Caenorhabditis elegans: one gene and its partner. The protein of the gene in region 1 interacts with the protein of each later gene in a pairwise test. Each region holds a gene or a part of one and is shown on either strand. Other genes may lie near its edges.

Evidence for each region.
Region 2: the proteins of sec-3 (region 1) and cogc-5 interact in a two-hybrid assay, tested with the Caenorhabditis elegans proteins (one large-scale study listed by BioGRID).

What each region holds. Positions count from the first base shown.
Region 1 is NC_003284.9:3,094,814-3,101,540, reverse strand, and holds sec-3 (Exocyst complex component 1), read left to right. Parts: upstream 1-1,688; 5' UTR 1,689-1,703; coding exon 1,704-1,833; intron 1,834-1,879; coding exon 1,880-2,007; intron 2,008-2,434; coding exon 2,435-2,533; intron 2,534-2,584; coding exon 2,585-2,962; intron 2,963-3,011; coding exon 3,012-3,184; intron 3,185-3,231; coding exon 3,232-3,403; intron 3,404-3,477; exon of another isoform or gene 3,478-3,613; intron 3,614-3,712; coding exon 3,713-3,959; intron 3,960-4,005; coding exon 4,006-4,360; intron 4,361-4,409; coding exon 4,410-4,536; intron 4,537-4,584; coding exon 4,585-4,846; intron 4,847-4,894; coding exon 4,895-5,019; intron 5,020-5,470; coding exon 5,471-5,569; intron 5,570-5,618; coding exon 5,619-5,870; 3' UTR 5,871-6,113; downstream 6,114-6,727. Other genes in the region: ztf-13 (C2H2-type domain-containing protein), read left to right, coding at 1-90, 142-296, 343-460, 932-1,060.
Region 2 is NC_003279.8:4,247,527-4,253,873, forward strand, and holds cogc-5 (Conserved oligomeric Golgi complex subunit 5), read left to right. Parts: upstream 1-1,966; 5' UTR 1,967-1,972; coding exon 1,973-2,046; intron 2,047-2,515; coding exon 2,516-3,651; intron 3,652-3,965; coding exon 3,966-4,368; intron 4,369-5,122; coding exon 5,123-5,315; intron 5,316-5,381; coding exon 5,382-5,546; 3' UTR 5,547-5,644; downstream 5,645-6,347. Other genes in the region: exoc-7 (Exocyst complex component 7), read right to left, coding at 1-54; tufm-2 (protein-synthesizing GTPase), read left to right, coding at 235-451, 498-1,040, 1,175-1,734; C43E11.12 (Transcription factor TFIIIC triple barrel domain-containing protein), read left to right, coding at 5,716-6,045, 6,094-6,318.

The DNA.
Region 1 (6,727 bases):
ACGTACGCAAAGTGTGAACTGCAGGCAGTTATGTCGGGTAGCATTGGCTTAGTGGTTTACAATCAGGCTAAAAGCGACTTATTGGCAACGGTTAGATAGAGTTCTAAATTTGCAGTTTTTAAAGCAGAACTATTTTTTCAGCTGGAGTCTGCAGATCACGATGATTTTGTGTCGAGCATGAAAAATACATTTATTTACGGGAAATTCATAAAACGTTCGCCTTCGGAAAGCTACGTCCCCTCGGCGACCGTTTTTAAGACACTGACTTTCAGCACAATGCCGCCCCAAGTCAAATTGTAAGAACTACCAAATTTAGGTTTTTAACAATATTTTTCGTTTTAGCAAAAAATCGTCTCGACCGGTTCCACCTGGAAAAAGTCTTGGAGAAGTCGTCTCTAAAATGGCGGCAAGTCAGCCGCAGTACACTGTGCGATCTGCTCCGTACTCAAAGGGTCGAGCGGTAAGATTTTGATAAATGCATTAAGTTACTTGTCATGTCAGAAGGTACTACTACATATTGTATTATCACTATTAGACTTGCTCACCGATTGCTTCACGCTGACAGCTAATATCTCGATTTTCTTTAATTTTATCAAAACATTTTAACTGCGTAATTACGTAAAATAATTTTCAACATATTGACATTGTACTATTTTTGGTACAATTTAAGACAACCGAGATATAAGCTAGCAGGTCTAATAGGACAAGTTTCAGTAGTTACCAAGATTTAAAATACTTCCAAATTCGGATTGTCCAGCATATTTTGTGTGTTTTTTCTTTAGAATACAATAATTACTAATGGGGCTAATCAAGTAATGTCGCGAAATGTAACAAAATGTATTGAAATATACATATGTCCACATTTGTTTTATAAAAAAAAATTTAAAGGGGCGATAATACAATTTACTGTAAAAACTAATAAATAAATCAGATCATCAAAATCCCGACTTCAATTCGTAACCGCAACTACACACTTCCACCTGCAGGCCCACTTCCGCTGCGTCGCACTTTGATTACTACCAACTACACCATGTATCCAGTCAGAAACGCTGTTCAGTGATAATCTCATTTTGAAACTTACCCCCGATTTAATATAGCTACATGTCATTAATCATTTTCTTTTGTCTCACTTAAGTTTTCTGTTACTTTTTTTCTACTTTTAACTTATGCCTCAAGTCACTTCCAAATCAAAACCACGACCTTTTCAAACTCTCTGTTGTTTTTTTTCTGATCCGTGTAATATTATTTATTGTTTCTTTCTTTTTTACTTTTGCAGATTCTCCTAATTGAAAACTTTCAATTGTCATTTTTTTACGGTCCGTTTTAGGAATCGTGTTCTATTTAAATAATTGCCAAAAATAAATCTTTTCAGGTCAATCAATTCGTTTCAATTCTATTACTATATCTTTTGCAAGTGTAAAAATAAAACCAAATAAAATTATTTTTGCTTCCCTGCATTGCAATATAAATAGTGGTGTTCATCGAGAAACGCGCACGCTAACCGGCCACTGGCGTGTTTTTCGTGTACTAGTCACCACAGAAAACTGCAGAGACGCAGAATAACTCCGTATGTTTTTACTGGGCATAACTGTTTCCAATTCCCTGATTTTATTGTTTTCTTTTTTAATGCTTGGTTTAAGTTTAAAATTTTTATTATTCTACTTAATCAATGTGATTATATAAATTTTCAATTTCAGATTTGAATGTCTGCAATCAGGAAGATAATCCAGCGGCAACTTTTCCAGAAAGACGATGAAAGAATTCAAGCAATAGTCAATGTCTCAAAGTTGGATGGAAAAAAGAAGAAAAACCAGACACTACTATGTTTAGCAGGTAAGAATTCTTGGAATTGTCCTGTATAAAAATCGATAACTTGCAGTCACAATCGAGCACCCCATCGCCGTCCGTTTATACTTTGTGAAAGGGGAGAAAGATGATACATTCAAAAAGAAGGACAGGTTCAATTTGAGAGAAGTCAGAGAAATCGACGGAATAAATCCGAAAAAAGTGAGTATTTGAAAATTATATGGATTCACGCAATTTATACGATATATGTAGTGAGCAAATGTGAGCGTAACGAAGAACATAACGCAAAAAATGTGAAGCTTCTCGAATAACTGAGGATTTTCAAGTTTTACGAACACTAATGTTTGATGGAGTTTATCAACCTAAAATAGCTAAAAATTCGCCATTTTGCCGCAACTTTTCAACGATCTTTATCAATTGTAAAAATTGCAATTAGCTAAAGTTAGGTGAGAAGTTGTTGAAAGAATAGTTATTGTACACTAAATTTGTCGAAAAGATGATGCAAATTGCAGGAATTATTTTGACAAAATGGCTTATCAATTAGTTAAATTCGCATTTACTTCAAGTTTTTTTGGGTTTAAAAAAAATTGAGAATTTTATTCAACTGACAAACATTAAAAAAATTCAGGCATCACCAGAGTTCCACATCACTATCGGTGATCATCAATATGTGATTTTGGCTGGTTCCGCTGAGGAAAAGGACGAGTTCATTCGAGAACTCTACAAGGTATCCAACTATAATACTTTCAACTTTTTTACTGAAAATTTCGTATTTTAGTTGTCATGCCAATACCTTCCAGTCCAGATGCCAGATTTCTGCAATTTCTCTCTACCGCAACTTGAATCAGAAACCTCCATTATACCCATTGAGCTTCCTGAGCATGATATGGCGATGCAAAGTGATTATCAGCCAATATCCAACAAGGAGGACGCAGACTTTCGAAAGTTGATTGCGCGAGCTAATTTGACTATTGGTGAAGCACATATTTTTGCCGAAATGCTGACGGAGCAATTGCAATCTCTCGATGGAGCCAACATCAACTCTATGATGGACAGTGAGAATTCCGTAAACCAGTTGCTTTCGAGTATTGATGCAGCATTGACCGGTGTTGAGTCGGTCGAAAAAGAGCTTGATCGTTGTGATGACATTTTGGCGGTACTACATTGTAAAGGAATTTATTGAAATTTTAATCAACTATTTTCAGTTTGTGAGGAACAGTATCGAATTGATCGAAGAGAAAGATAGTTTATCGGTGGTTGAAAGAAAGAACAAGCAACGTCTCAACGAGGAAATCGTTTCATTTGTCAATTCGTTGCAGGCTGTTACTGATTCCCACATTGAGACTCTGAAACAAGCTAACTTCAGTAACCCAGAAAGGTAGAGTGAACAACTTAGAGTTTTCAAGTAATATTATGATACTTCAGTGTTCAAAGATGCACGGACGCTGCACGCGCTGTTGCACAATTCTGGCACGGGAGGATTTCTAAGCCAATGCTTCAAATGAAAGCCTATCAGGACAGAAATGATGAGCTTACCGCAGTGGATGTCTTTGTCGATAGGCTCATGTCTCACCTCTCTGCACTGTTCTCGAATTTGGTAAGTTTCAATGAACGTGTGCTTGCTTGCTCGAGGACCCCCTAAATTGTAGAAGTATTAGAGAATTCCGGAGGTCACGCTCTCGCTAAAGGACCCTCTGAATTTTTTGAAAATTTCAACCAAAATTCTCGAATTTCAGATATTTTACAGCGCATGCGAAGCTTTTTTTACATCACATACCATAATTTCACAATAGATTCACGTTAAAATGTGGAGTTTTTTCAATACATCTATTATAAATTTTAGAAGAATCCTGTAGCAAGCGCGCGCACTGTATAAAATCATTTTCAACGCGTGTTTTTTTTTCAGAACGACTTATCTTTGGATCATGAGTGGCATGAACTGTGTATTCCAAAACAGTCTCAACGCTTTCGCGCCCTTTCTCCACTCTCTGATCTTATCAACTGGCTGAAAACGAACCGTCCAAAGGCTTGCAATTTAGTCTTGCAAAAGTATATCGACAGCACGAATCTACTTTACAAACGTCTATTTGACAATTTCTTTGAGACACTGATCAACAAAGTTCCAAAAGCTAACAGTTCTGAAAAGAAGTCAAGTATGTTTGCTAATATTTGCAGCAAAAAATAATCATCTGATTTCAGAAGCAAATGAATCTGCAAACATTTCACTTCGTTCTGACAACCAGAGTTTCCTGAGCACCTCCAGTGAAATTGATACTGAAGTCTTACCGCAACTCATCGAAACGGTGCTGGCAGAACTGAGCGCTGTGATTGACGCAGAGCAAAAGTTCGTTGTCCGCTTCTTCCACATCAACTCGGAGCTGTTGGCTCAGTTCGATACGACTTCAACTGGAAGCGGTGATAGCTCAAGTCTCGGAGGACGTAGTATGGAGAAACATATGAACGAGCAAGTGAGACACGTTATGGGCAACTTGTTTGACTCGCTCAATATTCATCTTGATAGTTTCTGTCGGGCGGTTTGTAGGCACAATCCTAGGTGAGAAAAGGTACACGTACATATTATTTTAAATTCCTACACATTTTAGCAATGTTCTCCTTTTGTTTGTAATCATGTCGAAGAAAGTGCTTCTACCACAAGACCCAAGCTCCTATTTTTCGATCACATTTGGAAGTTTAGTTGTTCTGATAAAACGCCAGTTTGATGCATTTATTGTGAGTTCCATTTATATGTACTGTAATTGCAATAATCTTCTCTTCCAGCAAATGGAATGTTCCCAGTACTCGGAAGTTCGCATTGCTAAAAAGACTAGAATCGGAATTCTCCCATCAATTTTTCGCTTTGCAAACTTTGTGAGACGTGCTGAAATTATCTTTGAAAATGCCGAGAGAAGAACTGACTTGGAGAAGGCATATTTCAATCTTTGCCGGGCGGTTTGTGACGGGATACAAAAAGCTGCCGCCAATCAATACAGCAAGTCTCCGTCGTCTGTAGTCAAGTTTGAAAATTACCACGAGCTCTATTGTAAGTGTTCTAGGAAACAATAAAGTGTGATGGTGATAAATGTTTCAGTGACTTTGTCGGAGCTAAAAATCTCATGTTTGGATCAACAACGAAAAGATGCGAAAGCGCTCAAGGAAGAACATATTGATGCGTACGTAAAAGAGTTTATGGGTCGTCCACTCAAAGAGATTCAGGTGATATATAAATATGGAAATTTATGTTTCAATACTGTGCTGCCAATGCTTGAAAAAAAACTTGACTATTATGCTTTAAACTAGTTTTTTCTTTCTAATTTTGGCTTGTCATTCTACAACATTTGTAAAAAAAGGCACTCTACCATAGTTTAAAGTTGGAGTACCAAAATTTGAGGCTTTGCTATTTTAGACCCAACAATTCAGCGCATATACGCCCAATAAAAGACCAACAAATTTATTAAAGAGTGATCAATAAATAAAAATTAAGTTCCAGACGCTGCGACACCGAGAAGTTGTAAAAATTGTGATTTTAGCTGCAAAACCTTTTTTCCGACTTTGAACCTCCATAACTTTTTTTGAGGAATTTTCAAAACATCTCATTCGAATTTCGGTACTCCACCTTTAAACAAAAATCTCCCAAAACTATCGATATGTATTCCAAAAATTTCAGACGTTCTTCGACAATGTCAACAACTTTATCGAAACGCGTGGAATTCGTCCTGATGAAATCTCGTATCAACAACAATTCAGTCGCATTGAGCTTAAAAAGGTTGAATTTCTAGTTAATCATCAAAATCGCCATTTCATAAATTTTCCAGGTAATTTCACAACATCCGGGAAAAGAAGTGAAAAAAGGACTCGAGCAACTGTACAAGAAAATTGAGAAGAACCTGGTTGCCAATTCATCACTTTTGCAAGTTGTATGGAGAGATATGCAAGAGCAATTTGTCAAGCAAATTGCGGAATACAACAAACTGATTCTCACTTGTTACCCAGGCTCGAAGATTGAGCTCGAAGTTTCCACTGACACTGTACTTCAGTTCTTCTCAGAAATTGCTCAACAACACTAATATTACGACGAATAATTTTATTGAATTTTGTTGTTTTAATTCATTTAAAATTTAGTTTTAATTTATCAGAACTCTAATACTTACTGAACCATGCTTTGTAATATATTTATTTATCTATTCTGTAATAGGTGAACTTCGTTACATTACTGATGTCTGTAATATAAATTTACGGGTGTTCCCCATTCGAAAATAGTAGTAATGCTTGCTTTTTTGAAAAATAAATGTCTTGCTTGGTGACTTTTATTTCACGTATTTTCAAATGCTCACAAAAATTTCACGGAACTGACTTCTTGGTTACACATTTGTAGAAATTTTGACTGAATGTTTGCATTGAACTGGTCAACTTAAGAATCTGACATGCAAATGGTGTGTTTTCTGAAGAACACACTTTGGCAACTTTTAATAAAAAAGGGGTGTAACACGATTTAAATCTAATAAAAACAACTTCTATAATGTTATTCCGTTTATATCTCACTTTATGTTTTACATTTTACTCTTATATACATTTTTTGACTCATTTATACAGGGTGGTCCATAATTATGGACCACCCTGTACTTATATCTTATTTAAAACTATTTCATGTAAGAATTGTTTTAACAGCGCATTTTTTTTCATCACTCGATTTAAAGGTAAAATTGATAGGCCGCAATCTATTTTGGAAAACTTCAGAACAAAATTTAACATTTTAAGAGGTAACTGTGAAGGTTTATAAGAGAATTATAAACCGATCTAACCACTAAACATGGTAACGTAGAAAAAGTAAAATTAGGGGAGGGGGGATGTTTATTTATTCTTGGTTTTCAATTCTTATCAGACTCTGTAAAGTAAAATGAACATAACTTGTTCGAATAGTGTA
Region 2 (6,347 bases), on another chromosome or scaffold:
TCGAGAATTGACAGAGAAAAATGGAAAACAATAAAAATAATAAACAACCAACATGTGACCTAGTTACTTCCTAGGCCACGCGGCCGCGTACTCCTCGAGGACAAAATGAGTTGCCACGCAATTTTTGGAATTTTTTAAATTAAATTCAGGTTCCAGGTTTCTATGGTTTCAAAGTTACTAAAATTGTTATAACCGATTTTATTATAACATGAATTTCTCGGTGTTATAGGTAAAATGAACCCCGCTGCTTTGTCGGCATTCACACGATCTCTACTATTCAATCGATGCTCAACATCTTCATTTTGTAATTCAATCACACGAAATGCCGTCGCTTTCTTTGCCACTGCAGCTGCTACGCCAAAAATCAATGTAAATGTGGGAACTATTGGACACATCGATCACGGGAAAACAACTCTAACATCAGCAATCACAAGAGTTCAGGCTAAAAAAGGTTTAATTAATTTTTATATTATTCACAAATGAATTCAATTCTGCAGGTTTTGCGAAGCATATTAAATTTGACGAAATCGATAAGGGAAAAGAAGAAAAGAAACGTGGAATTACAATCAATGTCGCTCATATCGGCTATGAAAGTCCTCTGCGTCGATATTCCCACACTGATTGCCCCGGTCACTCGGATTTCATCAAAAATATGATTTGCGGAACTTCACAAATGGACGTGGCTGTTCTTGTGATTGCTGCAACCGACGGAGTCATGGAGCAAACCAAAGAACATTTGATTCTAGCCAAGCAAGTTGGTGTTAAAAATATGGCGATTTTCATCAATAAAGCGGATTTGGTTGAAGAAGATGATCTGGATTTGGTAGAAATGGAAGCACGGGAATTGTTGAGTCTGCATGGCTTTAATGGAGATGCGACTCCAGTTATTCGAGGTTCCGCTTTAAGTGCTCTAGAAGGACAAGATATTTCGTGTATCGAGAGATTGATTGATGCATTGGATTCACTTCCAGAGCCGGATAGAAATGAAAAGGATACTTTTGTAATGCCAATTGCATCGAAAACTGCTATCACTGGGCGAGGTAATTGAAAAAAGAAATATAAGGTGTGCCAATCAAGAATTTATTTTGCAAGAAAAAGTGCAAGAAATTTCAATAAATGACATTTTTTGCCACCCCTAATATTTAAAAAAAAACCAATTTAAAATGTTTTTCAGGAACAGTCATCGTCGGTACACTGGAAAGAGGTGTCTTGAAAAAAGGCGATAAAGTTGAAATCAAAGGAGACGGGCAAACTCTTCAAACGACTGCTTCGGATATCCAAGTTTTTGGCAAAAGTGTGAAGGAAGTTCGTGCTGGAGATCATTGTGGAGTTCTGTGTAGAGGAGTTAAAGGGGATACAGTGAAGAGAGGAATGTGGGCAGGACATCCAGGAGCAGTAACAATTACGAATCGAGTGAAAGTGGAACTTTATCTTCTCTCGGAGGCTGAAAATGGCAGGAAGATCGGAATTCGGACTGGTTTCACAGACAAAATGTACTGCAGTACTTGGGATCAAGTTGGTCGTTTCGATATGAGCAATGAGCTTCTGATGCCAGGAGAACATACTTCTGCTACAGTACTCTTGATGAAAGACATGCCACTCAGAAAAGGAATGCCGTTTACATTGAGAGAAGGAAGCAGTAAAACAACGATCGCTAGAGGAATCATCTCAGATCTAGAGGATCATGTGGCTGTAGAGAAACATAATCTTAAAAAGTCCGCTGAAAAGATGTAGTTCTTTATATATTACAGTATTGATTTATTTTAGGTTAGATTTTATTAGCTTGTTAACTACTATATCTTGTTTTGTTTTTGTTTTCTTTTGTCGAAATCTTCGAATAATATTTCACTACTTTTATTGTTCAAATAATACCATTCTCCTATTAATAGCAGTTTTACCTGATCTGCTCATTAATATCTTTATTTTTAATTTTCGTATTAAATAATAATTTATTTTTTAATTCCAGTTTAAAATGTCGGGGAGAGTCGACGAACAGCTCGACGACTTCCTCTGGGGAAAAACTGATGTTAAGGATTACTTGAAAAAGTAAGTCGCCAAATTTTGTGGATTTGGGTCTCGACACGACAATTTTTGTTTAATGAAAAATGGTACGCGCCTTTAAAGAGTACTGTAGCGTCGATTCTTCATAGTTTTTTGCAAAAAGTATATTCATTTATTTATTTTTTAAAAACTAAAATAGAACAACATAAACTTTAACAAATCGTAAGAAAAACTATGAAAAATCGATAAAAACTTCGCAGCATCGAAAGTTTTAAATTACAGTATTCTTTAAAGGCGCACACTTTGTCGAAAGATGGAGTACCGCCAGTAGAGAAATTTTTAAAAAACATAACTGTAGTGTTACATTATATTAATAAAAAATCAAATCAAAAATGTTTGCAAAAGTTGTTATTTCAATTGACTTGAAATTTCAAGTAATAAAAACTTTTTTGGAAGTCGTCGATCAAAAAAATTATCTTCAAGTTTTTTTCTAAGTATATGTACAAATTTTCAGGGTAGCAGAATGTGACTCATCCGTAGCTGAATCATTGAATCGAAAAGTCGCTGGACTCCATGATACCCTCGACAAACAGCTTCGTAAAGGAGTCGAAACTAATCTTCCACGACTACTGGAGCAAGTGCCAGCTCTTCAATCACTTGAAGATACTCTACATTCAGTTCAAATGCGAATGACATCAGTGACCAAAGAATCAAATCGACTCGCCACGGTTTGTGATGATCTTACCACGAAGCTTCGCGAACAAACTCGCCAACTCGAAGCAACGATGCTCAAAAGAAACATGGCTTCAGATGCCCAAAGATGTGAAGAACTTTTTGAATCTCTTGAGAAACGAAGTGATTTGGTGAAGAAGGCGGAGATCACATCGGAGATTAAGGAGATACTCAATGATAATAAAAATTTGCGAAAAATTGGATGGTTGAAGAATATGGTGGATACCAAGTTGAAAGTGGCTGAAAATGAAGTTCGACGCAGTGGAGCGGAGGAGTTGAAACGAGGTTTAGCGTCATTGAATAGCTCGATGGTTGTATCTGCTCAAAGAGCTCTTCGAACTTTGAATTATTTGGATTCAGAACTTGAAGTTTTGCTGTCCTCCTCTGTTGTCGATCTGGATAAGAAATTAATGGAATTATCAAACAGCTCTCCAGAAGTTGCTAATAAAAGTCTCCCTGTAGTCGCTGCAACAATTCAATCACATCTCGAACAAGCGGCTATGCTGGGTGAAGTCTATAAGAAGAAATTCTCTGAAAAGTTGGCTCGACTGATTCGTAGCAGAGTTCCACTCGATACTCCATACGCTTTGCGGTTTGTACAGCAATTGGGTAGAGTATTCAATTCAAAGGGAGATAGTTCACCCGCTTTGAACGATTCTTTACGTCCACTCAAGAACTCTCTCCTGACTCATTCACTGGCTCGTTTGCACAAACTCGTTGAAGAAAATGACTTCTCTACAGCTCATGCCAATGCATTTGTCGATCTTATCAATTCTGCAATGGAAGAAGAACATCGAAAAGTCGACTGGGACGCGGAGTTGAGCCAGAAAATGAGCAATAATATTGAGAAATGCATTGAGATTATTGCAAAGAAATTGGAAGCCAATCTTCATTTACAAAGAGATGATTTACTCCTAGGTGAGCTGTGAAATTAATACTTTTTTTTGTTGATTTTTTTTATCAAAAACAAAAAAAAATTCCGAAAACCCGAGAAAACGATGACGATATTTTCGGCGATTCGATAAAACTTTCTGAAAAAGTCCTGTTTTTTTATTCGAAAATTTTTCCAAATTTATAAAACTTTCAAAACATTTTTTTTTGAGACTTCTCTAAATTTTCATTCTTCAAAAATTGAGTTTTTATTATGATATTCGAGCTTTTTTGAGTGTACAAAACAAATATTTATTTTCCATACTCCACATTTAAATGACCAAATAAAAAAACATTTTCAGGAGACCGATTGACTGCAAATCAAATGACAAACTATCGTCTCATTCAAACCGCTGATGGTATCACAAAACGTTGGCCAGCAGAATCGAAAAGTGTGACAGCGATTCAAAAAGAAACTCTTGATGCGATCGTCATAGAAGTCAAAAACTCGATTCGCGCGATTGTTGCAAGAATGCACGTTGAAACACGCGGAATGACAAAATCCGTGGCTCCGTACATGCAAGAATTGCTCACCTACATTAATCATATCGACATGCACATGGCTCACGTTTCACGAGCAGTTTGTCATTCTCACGTACTCTCACAAATTGCCGAATATGTCATTGACTCATTTATTCTAAATGCCACATTAGTCAGATCACATGCTTCTGATGAACGTCAACTCATTGTCATTGACTTTTCAAGGTAATAGGGTGCTTAAACTGAAAATGTTAAAAATTTTTCAAAAAAAATTTTTAAAAAACGTTTTCTTGCAAAAAATTACACTCGAAATAGAAAAAAAAACAATTTTGATCAAAACATGTAAATTTTTCTAAATAATTTTTCAAACCTCAAAAAATTTATTGTTTTTCTCATTTGTCGTCTTCTAAAAAATTTCCAAAAAAATATATGATTTTTAAAATATCGAAAATGTTTTTTTAGAAGAAAAAAACCTCTTTAGTCATTTTTATCATCAAAACCATTTTTTTTTGATAAATCTATAGTTTTATCGTATTTTCCTATTTTCTGTGGAAATAAAACCGAAAAATCGAACAATTTTATTAAGATATCCTAGAAAAAAAAATTTAAGAAAAAATTTTGAAATAGCAAAAAAAAAGAACAACAAAAAAACCTGATTTTCCCTGTGGTTAGCAATTTTTATATTATTTTAAATTTATTTTCCAAGTTGTCGGTTAGACATTTTAAATTTAAACTCAAAACGGCGCGCTGAATCACAAAAGTGTTAACTTTTTCTGTTTTTACATCGGTTATGATTCAGCGCTTTACATCTTTGCCGCCATTTTGTATTTAAATTTATTTATTTAACTTGTCTAACTGAAAACTTATCAAAAATGTTTAAGTTTTAACCGAATTCAGAGGATATCAAAACAAAAGAAATACGTTTTCAAACCTTTTATTAAATTATTCAATAATTTCGTCAGAAAAATTACTTTTTCAGATTACTCGAAGCCGTTCGTTCAATGGAATGGCCTTCCAAATATGGTGACACTACTCGACTTTTGGATCTTTTCGGAAGCGATGTTGATGTGATGCTCAGAGTTGAAGGTGTCAAAAAGTCGATTTTAATCCAGCTACTAGTATCCGATAGCCCTTCAGAACTTCCACTTCCTAATCAATCTGTAAAATGGACGGTTCGTAGTTTTCCACAATACTATGAATACTCTAAATATGAAATATTTATATGTTTCAATTTTCAGCCCGAAGAATATGTAAAGTGGTACGAAGAGCACACTGAGCTGGAAGTTCTCGCATTCCTCAACGGACTTGTGTCTTCGTACAATAGTTCTGTCATCTCACGTGGTCAACAACACTATGTCGATCATTATCCTCGTATTGTGAAGCTTCTTCAAAATGCTTTCTAACCTAAAGGACACTCGGAGAATTTAACAACGCATGGGTTTATGTATTTATGATTGTGATAATATTTATTTATTTGGGTGGAATAAAAGTGTATTCGTTTATTCCTACAATTTCCATTTGTTCAGTCTCCACGGTTCTCAGCCATTCTTCATATTTCTATTCTGAATTGTTATGTGTTTTTTTCCAATTTTTTCTTTCCAGAAATATATTGTAGAATTCAAAATGTCGCCCATCAAACGAGAACCAGAAGAAGCATGCCTGAAGCCAATGCGATTTGAACAAGAAATACCCGAAAGGGTAGATGAGCCGGAAGAGATGGAAGTTCAACCAGAAGAAATAGAGGAAGAAGTAGAAGAAGACGAAGGTGATGATGATGAATGGGAAGATGTAACGATGGTGGTCACTGTCAATGGAATTCTCGACGCGGATCTTGTTAGAGATGCCGTCGAGAGAGATTTGATCAAATTGCGGTACGCTGAAACGGATGCACCAGTTTTACAGGTAAAATGGAAATATACAAACTCAAAAGTAAAATTTTATGAATTTCAGATCAACAACTCACTATACACGGCATCCTGGGAGCAAGATCTCGGAACAAATATGGTTCTGCAGTCAAAAGGAAAAGAGATGGAAGTGATTTCGTGTACATCGACCATGATGACTGCAGAAAAAGCCCTGTTGACCTCGTTAAGCACCGAAGGATCTACACTAGCCGCCAATGCAGAGACTGCTCCGAAATCTGATCTCAGTCGAACTCAACCACGTCAACAATGATTTTCAAAATATAAATTAACATGAAGCTC